Linked DNA regions of Lonchura striata. The protein of the gene in region 1 purifies or fractionates together with the protein of each later gene. This does not show direct contact. Links are inferred from orthologs where the notes say so. Each region holds a gene or a part of one and is shown in the gene's direction. Other genes may lie near its edges.

What was found. Proteins that work in one complex are often made in the same cells at the same time.
Region 2: the proteins of KATNA1 (region 1) and KATNBL1 purify together in Homo sapiens (affinity purification with mass spectrometry; 3 studies listed by BioGRID and IntAct, counting the BioPlex papers as one, with this or other methods). This does not show direct contact. The link is inferred for Lonchura striata from reciprocal best matches to the Homo sapiens genes KATNA1 and KATNBL1.

The regions. Positions count from the first base shown.
Region 1 is NC_134605.1:57,553,407-57,560,292, forward strand, and holds the start of KATNA1 (katanin p60 ATPase-containing subunit A1), read left to right. Parts: upstream 1-3,886; 5' UTR 3,887-3,987; intron 3,988-5,141; exon of another isoform or gene 5,142-5,744; intron 5,745-6,886. UniProt on the Homo sapiens protein: Catalytic subunit of a complex which severs microtubules in an ATP-dependent manner. Microtubule severing may promote rapid reorganization of cellular microtubule arrays and the release of microtubules from the centrosome following nucleation.
Region 2 is NC_134608.1:31,725,675-31,732,911, reverse strand, and holds the start of KATNBL1 (KATNB1-like protein 1), read left to right. Parts: upstream 1-4,222; 5' UTR 4,223-4,328; intron 4,329-7,237.

The DNA.
Region 1 (6,886 bases):
CTACTGTGAAGCATTTATAATGGTTAGAAGATGGTTATGAGAAGTTTTCTCAAAGAAGTTGTTAGTTGCTTACTATAACGAAAATGAGTTTGCAGCTTAATAAAACAGTCCTGTTCTGCCTTTCCCACAGCTGTTGAAATAGAGTAGCTTTTAAGATTAATTTCATTTAGCTTAATTATTATAAAATGGTTGCAGTGCATAACTACTCCATTTTATATATTATGTAAAAAAGATTGCTTTTCATGTAAATAAACTTTAAAGATTATCCTCCTTCTTAGTAAGTATCCCAGTAAAACTGGTCTACTTGTCTTGGAGCAAAGTATAATATATTGCTGGTTAAAGGTAATTTAATCAAGCCTCTGCTTCACCATTTTTGAAGTGTGCAGAGAAAATAATGTCAATTCATTAAATTGACTCTTAAAATTGCCTTTTCATCTGAGTATATTTCTCCTCTGCCTGCACTATAGTATACGATGGTGTATTCCTGTTTAATACTATTACTGATCCTAGGCAATTTAAAAATAATTCTAAAAAAGAATAAATAAGTGTCCTGTAAAGGCACCATTGGTCTAAAAAGAAAAACCAATTGCTTTTATTAAAGGAAATTATTGATTGTTTTAAGGACATGCGCAGGTACTGAAATACTAAATACTCTTTTGCCTTTTTTAAACAAATACAGGAAGTGCTCATAACTTTAGAATTTGGTAGATGCTTCTGGCATTTTCTAATATCATGTGTTAGAAGTTCCTTGTTTGCATTTTGCCACCTGTATGCTGCAGTGTTACGTGTTTCCTTGCAAGAAGTTACAGTCCGGGTTCTTCTCTGAGAAAGTTAGTTACACATGAATGTTGTCACAACTCTCCAGCATGCTCTGCTTTACCTATGTTTTGAAACTTGACATAGATTCAGAGTCTGTTGAGATTCTTCATATTTGCTGCTTAAAACATGGGTGTTTCACTGGTGACCTACAATGGGGATTGGTTTATACAGGCAGTGGAGAAGAGAGGCTCCTAGCCAGCAGTTGTGGAGTTCTGCAGTAAGTTTTAGTTCAGGTTACCTTTACTTTGTAAAGCATGAAAACAAGTTTCTCTTTTATGTGTCCTTGTATACATATTAATTGTATTTATAAAATGTTCTATAATCCTATAACTTGTACTGTAAATAGTATATGATATTCAGTGGCATTCTATCCTCGGGCAGGCCCTCTTGCTGTATCTTTTCTATTTTCAATTTGTAATAGAATCTATAGAATTTTTGTCTTAGAAAGTCTCTTTGAGACTGATGTATCTTCCGCTGGTGCAAAAACTGTGAGTGGGAATGATTTATTTAGACTCCTTTTAATATTATTCAGCTGATAGGCAGTGCAGTGGGTGGGTTCTTAGATTATGCTGCTGTCACTGAAGATACTATTAGGCTTTTGTTTCAGATGTTGTGGGTGTTTCAGATCAGAACTTAAAATCTGTTTGCTTTATTTCAGCCAAAGCAAAAAAGATAATGAATTGGGTCAATGTCATACTAAAATGTTTTGAATGCCTTAAGATGGTCATGATAAAGGCACTATTCAAGTTTACTGATTTATATATATCTATATAGATATATATAGACATATTCTGTGTGTATATGTATATATAATGTCCTTTTTGTATTATAAGACTGTCAGTTCTTTGGAGTCTTCTATTAAATACATAGACCATCCCACAATTCTGCTTAAGCGGATCATTCATTTATTCTGTGTCTAGCTAGTAAACTTAACAATTTTGCATTATCTCATGGCCATAGTAAGTTATTCACCAATTTTTTTGCGTGTTCTTTACTTGTCTCGATCATGACTGGGCATCCTGTTTTGCCAGGTCTCTGCATTCCTGCAATCCAGCTACATGTGTGCCATGCAATCTCTGAATGTGCATTGGCACACTTGCGTCTTTGGGGCTTATGGGGTGGTGGCTTGGACTGTGATCTCCAAGACTCCTGGTGTTCATGTGAAAAGAATGTGCATATTTGCTGACTTTTCCAGTAGGTACACTGGAGCATCCATCCCCTCCATCCAGGACTGCCAGGTTTCCAGTTTGTCAGTGCCCAGCAGTTGAGCAGTGGAGGCTTTCTTGCCCCTTTTGACTGAACACACAGCATTGTGTGTTTGACCTGGGGCATGGGATGCGAGTGGTTGCACTGACACCTTCTTAAAAGCTATTTAGAATAAGAGAAAGAATTCCAGCTCTCATGAGCAGCCTAACTGAATTATCAGCTACTGGTAGTCAGTGGCATTCTGAGTTATAGAAATTGTTCTCAGAATCGGTTTCTGTAGTGTAACACTTCATGGGATAATAGACACCACACTGGACCTTTATAAGAAGTGAAAATCACATTCTTATTTTGGCTATTCAGACATAAAATGTAAACATTAGTTGCCTAATTACATTTATTTTTCTGTCCTCCTTCACATCCCTCTTCAAGTTCTGTTTATGCTGCAGCAGTTCTACTGTTTAACATTAAAATGGCACACATGTAACAGCAGGAATGCTGTTGTATTTGGCTGTCACCTCATGTTTGTAACCTGTTCTGTATACATGTTGATTTTCAAGAGATCAATTTGTTGGTATTCTTTCTGTGTCCTCTGCTGCCTCTTTCATCAAAATAAGTAAATCTTACGAATCACTGTTACTATTTTTTATTATTATGCATACATTATGGACCATGAAGCTGTTCCTTAAGAAGACAATGTATCACAATTTTCATCTGTGTTTGTGAAAATCCCCTTCTTGAAGTGCACATCTCAAAGTGCTAATGCAGAAACTAATGTGTTATTGGAGAGACTGAGTTATATCCTGATTCTGCTATACTTGTGGAGGAGTCTGTGGAAGTACAGTACATTTTTTATTCATTAGCCCACCTACAAAGGGGAGACAGAAAATTCCTCCAGCTCTCATCAACCAAGTGATGTGATACACTTTAAATTTTAGAAACTCATCAGCAGCTGTGTCTTGATAGCTGAAGTAATGTAGGAATGGTTGTTTTAAACGTAGACATTTGTTAGAAATGGGAGACTAAAACTGCCAGTTTAAGAATGGGTAGAAATAGAATAACAAGACGAGTAAGAATGGATGTGATATAGTTAATTAAAGGATGACATACTGCTGTGGGGGTTTGGAATTGACCCTGAAGGACTATAATAAACCTCCTGCATTGTGCTCAACCTTTAGATCCTCTTTGTTGCTAAGCAGCTGAGTCTCTTTAGACAGGTGACGAGGTACTGCTCCATCAAGGATACTTAAGGGCAGTTTCCTGGGCTGACTCCACTCGCTCGGCAGCAGGTTTTCCTCAGCACTCTTAGACACGTTTTCTTCCCCAGAATAACACCATCTGTGAAAGTTTGAAGGAGTGCAGACAAGTCACAAGCAAAGAACATGTGCTTGCTTGCTGTTCACTTGGCGAAACTCACATTTGGGAGTTACGGAAAGGAAATAGCTAAAGGGAAGCAAGCCATCGGCCACCAGGGCGGGATCTCGAGTGCGGTGGGGAAGGAAACGTGTGTTCGTCACCTTCGAGTCACGAAGGCAGGGAGCGCTCCTCGCACAAGCATTGGTGGTTCAGTGGTAGAATTCTCGCCTGCCACGCGGGAGGCCCGGGTTCGATTCCCGGCCAATGCAACTGCCCTTTTCTCGTCTCTTTTTCTTTCTTGTTTTTTTTCCCCGTTACTCTTTAAAATTTAAAAACAAAACAACCCTTCGCTCTTAGTTATAACGCTCAAACGTAAACCAACTGCTCGTCGGTCCGGCTGGGTGGGCCTTCTCCCCGTCCTCCCAGGCTGGAAGTGACGCAGCCGGATTTGCCTTCAAAAATTGCCGGCGGCGGCGGCGGGAGGTGGAGGGCAGGGCCGGGGCGGGGCCAGCGGCGCTGCGGGAGGAAGGGGGCGGAAGAAGCGGAGGGGTCGTGGCTGGTGCCGCCGTGAGCTGCTGCCGCCGCCGCGGGAGCGAGCTCCGGAGAGGAGTAAGTGACGGGAGGGGCCCGGGGTCCGGCCGGGCCGCAGGGAGCGGCGGGCCCGGGCCGGCGGCGGCCGCGCCCCGCGTGGCGGGGCACCCTGAGGGTTCCCGGGCACGGGCGGCTCCGGCTGCTCTGCCCGCGGCCGGAGGGCGAGGGGCCGCGGGGCTGCTGTGGCGACAGCCGTGACCACGGAGCTCGTTCTGTCGGGGCTGTGCTCACACGTGCTCGGCGCAGCTCTGCCCGGGGCTGCCGCTGCCCGCAGGTGCGGCCGGCGCTCCCGGCCCCGCAGCCCGCCCGGGTGCGCTCCCGGGGCTGCTGGCACCGGCCCGGGCACGGAGCGCTGCTTCCCCGGTCTCCCTTCACCCTCCACCTGTTTTGGCGGTGTGGCGTTTTTTGTTAATGTGCAGTAATCTGCGGCGATGCAAGCTTTCTCTCCAGACAGAAGCTGTCGGCAGCAATTTCAGATACCTATTCAGCCGCGGACCTCACTAAACTTCCAGAGAAATTTGTTAATTTAACATTGATCGCCAAAAAGAATGCCAGCCCCTATGAAGTGGGGAGAAGCCTGTTTAATAAAGCCTTCTGAAAGGCTTAGCCTGGAAAACGTAAAATGACATGCCACCCATGTGTTTCTACCTAGTGATTGATTTTTAAATGTTTTTTATTTTCCACAAACTGCCAGCCATACTTAGGTTTGTGGCTGCTGATGGTTCTAATGCTGTTACTGCTAAATACAGCAAATGCATGAGAACCATTTTGTTTAGTATCCAGTAAGTCTGGCATCTCTCCTTCCCCAGTAATCAACGCAGTCATTTGTTGAGACCAAATGTTGCTGGCCATGGATGTTATGAAGAAGAGTATTAAAGGTGGAAGCAAACTCAGAGGTGATGCAGGCCATTGTGGCATCACTAAAAACTGATTCCTGAAAGCTGTTACTGTGAGGTGTTTTTTTTCTCCTCTGGCTTGCCAAGAGAACTTTGCAAATATTACAGGGTTGCTTTGATGTCAGAGCCGGTATAGCAGGCTGAAATAATGGAAACATGTGCACTCTGCCAAAATTCAGGCTCTGGCTTAGTCCAGACGTTAAGGTTGGAGCAAAGAACTCCTTGAAAGTATTTTCCACATACAGTTCATGCCTTCCAGTCAGCTGGTCTACCACAGTAATTGACACACTATCAGTCAACCTCTTCTTTTATTTTTTAAAGTTTGGGCGTCTTCTTTGTGTTACAGGATTGATGCAGTGTTTCTGGATTCTAACATACGACTCTGAGCAGAAATTACTTACAGTACTTTCCACTGATGATTTCTTGAACTTATTATGGAAAGCTTGAAGTATCCTCAGGGTTTTCTTGATAATGGTTAGGCTGGTATCTTTCAAATGAAGTACAAAAATAAGTTCCAAAACCTCATTCTCACAAGTTGTAGGGATATTGAACCTTTGTTAGGTTCAGCCCTTGCTGGACTTGGCTGTTCTATACTCTAGAAATATTTTAGGTCCTTGGAGCAAATGATAAAATGTATTTTGCAACTAGAGATGGGTTAATTTCGGACAGCCTTAATACTCACAGCTGGTGTGAAAAGTGGTTATTCTTGTGAAGTCTGTGTGTTTGTACACAGTAAAGAATTAAACTTGGAAGACAAAGTCCTTAGGTTATTTTCCTTGTATCCTGTTCACTGTAAACTTTATGAGCTCTTCACTGTTTCAGCAGCTGTTGGAACTTAGATAACTTCACTGGTCATGATTCATGGAAAGGTTGTGGCTAGTAAGTGCAGACCTGCTGCTTTGACATCCTGTTACGTGATAGCACCAAGTATTTGTAAACACATGTGATGTTGCTAAGTATTTGTAAATACTTTAAAAATTAATAAGTAGTGCAGGATTAGTTTTTGAGAGTTTTAATCCCTTCTGGTTTAACTCTGTATTTGTGTGTAGGGAGTTCTCCACCCTGCTGTACTGCCCCAGTATATTGTCACCTCCTGCCACAAACTTCAGTCTGCTTTCAGATTAGTACTCTGACTCTTCTTTTTCCCCCTTAGAGCTTCTTTACCATCTTCACTTACAAGTGCAGCAGACTCATGGACTCATTAGTATATCAGCTCTGACACTGCCTGAAGTTGTGGCAGCAGCAGTGGCATGTCCAGACATAAGCAGAGCCAGCAGCTTTTTCTGCCTCACTTGTACTCAAGAGCCTTATATTTGGAAGCCACTTCAAAAGCTCTTTTGCTCTCATGAGTCAAGATGAGGCAACAAATTAAATTGGTTTTCTAGTTTAAGCCAAATTATCTTGCATTTTCAGTAGCACTGGTGAGACAGGTAGATTCCAATAGTATTATCAGCTCGAGTGAGCACCTTCTTCCTTCTTTTGTTTCTTCCCATGAGTTGCTAGCTTAGTCTGCTTACATGTCTGTTTATTCTTTCTAGCCTTATATTCTCTGCCCTTTCTAACCTGAAAATGTCATTGACTGTTTTTATTATGTGCAGTGCTATCCTTTTGGTCCCAAGCTTTCATACATTTCCGACTTAGCCTCTTTAGTTTTGTTGTTTATTTTTTTTCTAATTCTAGTTATTTTCACATTTCCACATGAAAACTATTCTTATAAACTTTTCTTTTTCTGTGTACATAAAGTTGCTGTTCTGCTTGGATTGCTCTACAGCATTCAGTGAAAAAAGTTACGTATGACTTCTCTCTGTATTTAAAAGTCTAGTTTGATTTTAGTAGCTTGCTATTACTTGATTTTTAAAATGTCTATTAGCATCTTGCTCAACTCGTGATTTCAGTATGTTAGTCATCAGTTTGAATTCTCAGGACAGGCAAACAGGTGTATCTGGTAGGATGAGCAAGAGTGGAAAAGCTCGCTCCTAAATACAGCAGGGAAAACTTTGTTAACATCTGTGTGATGATCC
Region 2 (7,237 bases), on another chromosome or scaffold:
CTCCCTTCAGTGTGCTGAGTCCTGGTCGTCACGTTTCTAGAGGGATTTTTAGCCCTCGTGCTCATTTGGAGCTGTCTGTGGCGCAATCGTTCTCACAGTAAGCGTTGGGGGGCGAGGGGGGTTAATTGTAAAGCTATTCGCCAGTAGCAGGGATGGCTACTGATTTCCCTCATATGGGTCGCTGACCAGACACCAGATGGTGGAAATAACCTGTCCTACTATTCTGGCCCAGAGCTGGCAATTCAGAGGTGAAAAGCTTTATCCCATTACCAATTGCCTGAGCCATCCTGTCTCCAACCTGAGGGCTAAGGATTAAACAGTTAATAGTCTTGGAGTAACTACCGCCCCCTCAAATCTCCCATCCACTGCACAGCCCAGGCAGATCTGGGAGAAGGTCCACAAATGTCAGTGCATTTTATTGACTTTAAATTCTGCCTAAGGAGGAATGAAAAAGAAGCCAGGCTGGTAAAATTACTGCATCAATTTGGATAGTACTACTTATGCAACATCTGGAAGGAAAAGTTTATTGCAGAAAAAATGTCAGGAGAAATAGAAAAACCAAGTAGGCTGTTTGTGAGAAATGCAATCTGGAAATAAATGGAGTAGGCATCATAAGAAAAAAATATCATTATAGAATTCCCTTTTGCAGGTTTCAGGAAAAGAGTCACATTACTGGTATTAACACTACACAGTCAGAACACCTTAATCAGCTCAGAACAGAAGAACCAGTTTTAGTGAATTTATTATTCATCCTATATCCTCATTTTCTTTGCCTTCTGCACAAGTACTTTGCTCTGCTGCATTCAAGCTTTTAATTAGTACACAATAGATTTCTGTATTGCATCCACAATTGCTATCAAAATTTATGTTATACACTATAAATTGTCAGAGAAGCTACTTTTACATTTGTGAAGATGACATAAAACATATAATTTAGAGTTCAAGATAACTGCTAGGGAAAAAACTTACAGAATTTCTGAACTTCTCTATAACCAGATGTAATCACTAGAATTCTTTAAAAATGCAAGTAAGTACCAGTATGAAGGTTGAAAATATGAGAATACAAGAGGAAGGAGCCAGTAAGTAATTTTTGAATATAAATAAGTGTACATTTCCATGTTAGACCTGGATATATTTGAATCTATATTCTTTCACTCCTGCAGAAAAACGTGATTGAGATTACATATCATGATCTTATAAAATCCTGTCCCACTATAATTACCATAATTACCAGGACATCTAGTTAGACTCCTTCACCCATCTGGAAGACTGGACTGTTCAAATCTGTCAGGCCATGCACAAAGAACTCATTTACAGGGGAGCCATGGAAGGAACTGCAAAAGAGCTGCCCTTGAGAGAGGGGAACGGACAAGCAAAGCTCCTTGCTGCTATCTTACTGTTCATTCCTCCCTTCATGTTTCGTACAGCTTCACTTAGGGCAGCTACAGAAATGTGTGCAGTGTGTATATATAAAACTTCTTGGTCAGCTTTTCTCATGATAACCTGCTTAATCCATTCACAATCATGATGTTTCTAATGACTAAAATTACTCCATCTTTTGTCCATAGCCATCCTACCACATCACACTTAGTGTCACAGTAAGTAGTAAAAAGCATTGTTCTAAGATAGACTACAAAAACTGGAATCTGTCATGTGTAATTATTTTACTTGAAAATATACAATTAGGTCTTGCAAAAAAATTTAAATATTAAAAAATTAATCAACTGTTTAAATTTAAAAAGCAAAAAACAAAACAAAACAAAACAAAAACCACAAAAAAACCCCAAAAAAACAAAACCAAACCAAAAATATAAAAGAAACTTTAATTTTTTCTTTAATTTGGAAAAGACGGGAGAAAAAAAGTAAGTTAAAGGAAAATAGGCTAAGGAATATATTCAGAAAAGGTATAAGACTATTTAGCTAAGGGAACTGTTTTTCAAGATCCACATACAAATTTAAAACAACTGAAAGTATGCTTATCAAAAACAAAATCAAAGAAAAATACATAAAAGAAGTGGGAATTTTTAATGGAACTTACTACAGCTGACCCCTAGGATAACCATAATGAACCTGTCAGTATTAGCGGCTAGATGGTCCACAGTCATTGCTGAGTAGCCAGAGTACAACTTGTGTGCTTCTGAAAACACAAATGGGACCTTGACAGAAATTATATTTTCATTACAAAATTTGAGCCCTTTGTGGACTAGAAGGGATACTAAACAAATTTGCAGATAATACAAAACTGGGAGGAGTTGTTGGCTCCCTCAAAGGCAGGGATGCCCTGCAGAGACACCATCTCAGAGGGCTGGACAATCACCAATTATATGAACTTCAACAAGCGACAATGCTGGATTCTGCACCTGGGATGGGCAGCCCTCGATGTATGGACAGAATGGGGAACGAGAGGCTGGGAAGCAGCACCACAGAAAGGGACCTGTAGGTCCTGGTTTGTGGCAAGTTGAACAGAGTCAGCAGCGCCCTGGCAGCCAGGAGGGCCACCTGTGTCCTGAGGTGCATCAGGCACAGCATCACAGCTGGGCAAGGGAGGGGACTGTCCCCTCTGCTCTGCTCTGCTCTGCACTGGGGGCAGCCTCACCTCCAGTGCTGGGGGCAGTTTTGGGTACCACAGTGTAAGATGTTATTAAGCTATTGGAAAGCATCCAAAGTAGGGCAATGAAGATGGTGAAAGGTTTTGAAAGGAAGCCATATGAGGAGTGGCCGAGGTCACTGAGGGGAAATCTCATTGCAGTCTACAACTTTCTTGTTCAGGGGAATTGGAGGGGTCACCAATCTCTTCTCTGCGGTGACCAGTAACAGGATCCAAGATAATGTCCTGAAGTTGTGTCAGGGGAGACTTAGGTTGGAATTAGGAAAAGGTTTATCATCCAAAGGGTGTTTAAGCACTGGAACAGCACAGCCTGGCAGAGTGCAGTGCTCTCGAGGACATGCTGTGACTCTTGGGGATGGTGCTATGCACGAGTGGGACTTGGACATCCCTGTGCGGCCCTTCCAAATCAGCTTATTCTGTGGTTCTGTGATAATGCAGCAGAGCGTGGAGCTACCGTGGGTTTCTCAGTCAGTCTGGGCATTGCACACTCCTAACCATGGCTCGTCACTGGCGGCCGGCAGACAGGCAGAGAGCGCGGACCCCCAGCTCCACCACCGGGATCATCGGGCATCCCCCTGCTCCCTCCCGCCTGCTACGTGCCGGGGCTCCCCGGCATTCCCCGGCTCCCTCCCGGCCGCTCCATCACCGGGATCATCCAGCATCCCCCTGCTCCCTCCCGGCCGCTCCATCACCGGGATCATCCAACATTCCCCGGCTCCCTCCCGGCCGCTCCATGCCGGGGCTCTCCGGCATTCCCCGGCTCCCTCCCGGCCGCTCCATCCCGGGGCTCTCCGGCATCCCCCTGCTCCCTCCCGGCCGCTCCATGCCGGGGCTCTCCGGCGTTCCCCGGCTCCCTCCCGGCCGCTCCATGCCGGGGCTCTCCGGCGTTCCCCGGCTCCCTCCCGGCCGCTCCATGCCGGGGCTCTCCGGCGTTCCCCGGCTCCCTCCCGGCCGCTCCATGCCGGGGCTCTCCGGCGTTCCCCGGCTCCCTCCCGGCCGCTCCATGCCGGGGCTCTCCGGCGTTCCCCGGCTCCCTCCCGGCCGCTCCATGCCGGGGCTCTCCGGCGTTCCCCGGCTCCCTCCCGGCCGCTCCATGCCGGGGCTCTCCGGCGTTCCCCGGCTCCCTCCCGGCCGCTCCATGCCGGGGCTCTCCGGCGTTCCCCGGCTCCCTCCCGGCCGCTCCATGCCGGGGCTCTCCGGCGTTCCCCGGCTCCCTCCCGGCCGCTCCATGCCGGGGCTCTCCGGCGCTCCCCGGCTCCCTCCCGGCCGCTCCATGCCGGGGCTCTCCGGCGTTCCCCGGCTCCCTCCCGGCCGCTCCATGCCGGGGCTCTCCGGCGTTCCCCGGCTCCCTCCCGGCCGCTCCATGCCGGGGCTCTCCGGCGCTCCCCGGCTCCCTCCCGGCCGCTCCATGCCGGGGCTCTCCGGCGTTCCCCGGCTCCCTCCCGGCCGCTCCATGCCGGGGCTCTCCGGCGTTCCCCGCGCGCAGTGACGCAGCAGCGCGCGGCGCGGAGGGGCGGGGCGGGGCGGGGCGCGGCGCGAGGCCGCGGCCGGCAGGGGGCGCCGCGATGCCGCGCGGCGCGCGTGGCGGGGCGTGGCGCGGCGCGCGCGGCCCGGCGTGCACCGCGGCGGCGTTTGAATGGCGCAGGCTCGGGGCGCCGGGCCCCGGCAGTAGCGCTCCCGCCGCTCCTCCGCCCGGCCCGGCCCCGAACATGAGCAGCGGGTGAGTGCCGCGGGGCCGGCCGCAGCCACGGCAGCGCGGCGGGGCCGCGCTCTGCCCCGCCGGGACCGGGCGCGGCTCCGCGGCGTCGCGCCGGGCGGGCGGGCCGGCGGCGGGGGCCGCGGGCAGTGCGCGGGCGCGGATCGCTCCGAGCCCGCGGTGCGCGGTGCCCGCCGGCTCCGGACAGCGAGCTCTGGCGCTGGGCGCCTCTCCAAGATGGTGCCGGCAGCCCCAGCTGGAAGCAGGCGCGTGCAGTGGCGGGGCCGTGCCAGGAGAGCGGGGAAGGCTCTGGTGCTGCCGACAGGGAGGACAACAAGCTGGGTGTGAGGCCTGCTGACGGATTTAATTTCTTGGGTGTGACAGATTCCAGGGTTACGACGGGGGGGGGGGGGTGAGGGGGGACCTTATGTGCTTGAAGATCAGATCCTGCATTAATTACTTCGTTCAAAAGGCTTCAAATTATTTTTTCAGCGTTGGGCTGGATAGTTTTGCATGCAGGTTTAAAATAAAGATGTTATGTATAGAGAGCTCTCTTAAGGAGCGATTACGTGATGATCTTGGAAATCTTTTGTTTCTGTTTTTGTAACATGCTCTGCTTTGGAGAAAGGTTAAGTCTGTTTATTTAAAAGCAGCTTTCGTCCATCTCTTAACAGAAGGCAAGTTTGTGCCTCTTTGGCCTTGCTGATAGGAAAGAAGACATTCTTGAACTAAAATTAGAATTGATTTGAATTCCTAAACTTTAAAACTCAGAATTTCATTATGTTAAAAATTACATTATGAAGGTATTTTTTGTATGTATATTAGAAAGTGTATGTCAGTATGCTGATACACATATATTCTTACAGCCACGTGTATCTATATACATCACTTCATACCCACTTTTACTGTGTGTTGGTCTTGGGGTAAGAAGCTTGACTATAAATGAAGAAAGTTTTTTAAAATGCTGTAAACAGACTACAGTCAATAATAGGAATGTATTTGAGGGTAGCATAAAAAGCCATGTGAAAATTGTGTGACAGACTGTTCAGCCAGGTGGGCATGTAGTGAATAATTCCTTAACCTCCACCAAGTCTGGAGCTTGAGGGGTTTGTCAGTATGTCTGTCTCTGGGTTTGAGTTCAACATTCTTGTTGCAGTTTTTTAAAACTCCTTGGGTTGAGCAGTAAATGGTAGAAGAAATTGCTGTATTTAATTTCATGGGTAGTTTCTTAAAGAGTTGTGTAAGACGTTAATGTGGAAGCTTTAGTGTTGTGGAAATGTATTTCTTTTATAATGTTTATAAAAGCTTTTTAACATCTCTCAGTTATAAAACTTTTTCAAGCTTATTGTCACCAGAGTGTTCATAAGTAAAGATCAACAGGTAGAAGTATCTTTTCGTTAGTGAAAGATGACTTCAGAAAGGACTTAACCACTGAGAGCTGCTGTTACTTTATGGCACCTTTACATACCTCTAAATGGTACCTCCAGATGCAGAAAACTGAGTTCTTTACTTTTTTTTTGTAGAAAATGTAAGTAAGGTTCAGTTATTAGACTCCTGGGCTATTTCCACAATGAAAGCTAATGCACACCTGGGTTCATCCTCACTAAACTTGGATGAGCTGTGACTTGTGGTTATCTTTGAAGGTTCATTATGACTAACAGTGGGCCACATACAAATTTCATATGTAAGAGGAAAATGAACTTAAATCTTAGGTATAAGCTAATTTACCATAATTAGTTGTTCAAATAGTATTTTTATTTACTGCAAATTTAGAGAAATTCCTGTAGTTTTTACCAACATCTGGAACAAATGCCCTGACAAGTGTAGCACATTAAAAAACTGTATTCTGCTGGCATATACCACTATTTATAATGTTGCAGAAAAGTTTTGCATTAACATACTCCTTAAAATCTGAATGCCACTTCCTCTTTTTAAGAAAACTCAATTTTAACAGCTGGTGAGTACATCAATTACTAAAAAAGGAATTAGAAAAAAAACAAACTGTTTCCTATGCAAAGGATGTGGAAGCCTTCTAAAACACAAAGACACATGGATTCTGTAACATTTATCAGAGCTAAAATGAAAGGAAGTTATGCCAAGCTTGCAAAATCACTTCTACGTCATAAGATAGTGCTATTTTATTGTTGTAAGCAAATTACCCTTTTGGAAATAAATTTGAAATAACCATTCTTGGAAGTTTCTTGTGACCATTGTAGATCTGATAATGGCCAGTTAAATGAGTTGACCCTGATGCATACCTATTTGGAATGCTTTCAAAGCATGTGCTCTCTTCCTTGGGAGTAATGATTAATGAGGCTTTTCATTTGAGTTTAATATTGTCATCCTTGAACTTGCAGTTGGGCTACTGTGGGGTGGAGGAATATCACAGGAGCATTTCCCATGGCTGGTGCATGGGGCATGCTGCAGGAAAAAGTAGCTATTAAGAATTTGGACAAGGAATAGGATGGAAGAGTGTGTGTTTTAAAAGGTACTGCTGATGACTTAAGAGATCTAACTATTTTAGGTTTTCCTTACTGCCATGCAAAGTATGGCAGCCTGTGTTCTGTAAGAAAATTTTATTATGTTAATATGCATGTAGATTACATAATGTGCCAAGAAGAGTTTGTCCCTCTCTGGGGGCCGTGCCCAGAACTTAGGACATGGGAGGGAGTGGCAGAGTTGTTAATACTTGCCTTGGACAGATATGCACTTGAAAGCCTGTTAGTGCTGATTTCTTTGCCTAATTCTGGTATGACCTGAAGAGTTTTATTGCATATGGGAGAGATCAGAGATAGAAAATACCAGTAAAACCATCAAGAAAACTTCGCACAGGTACTGTCTGTTGTGTGTAGGGACAAACCAGCTTATGCTCAGGAGACATGGCTGCTATTACTTTAGTCCTTCTTCTTACTGGAGATTGAAGAGAATAAAAG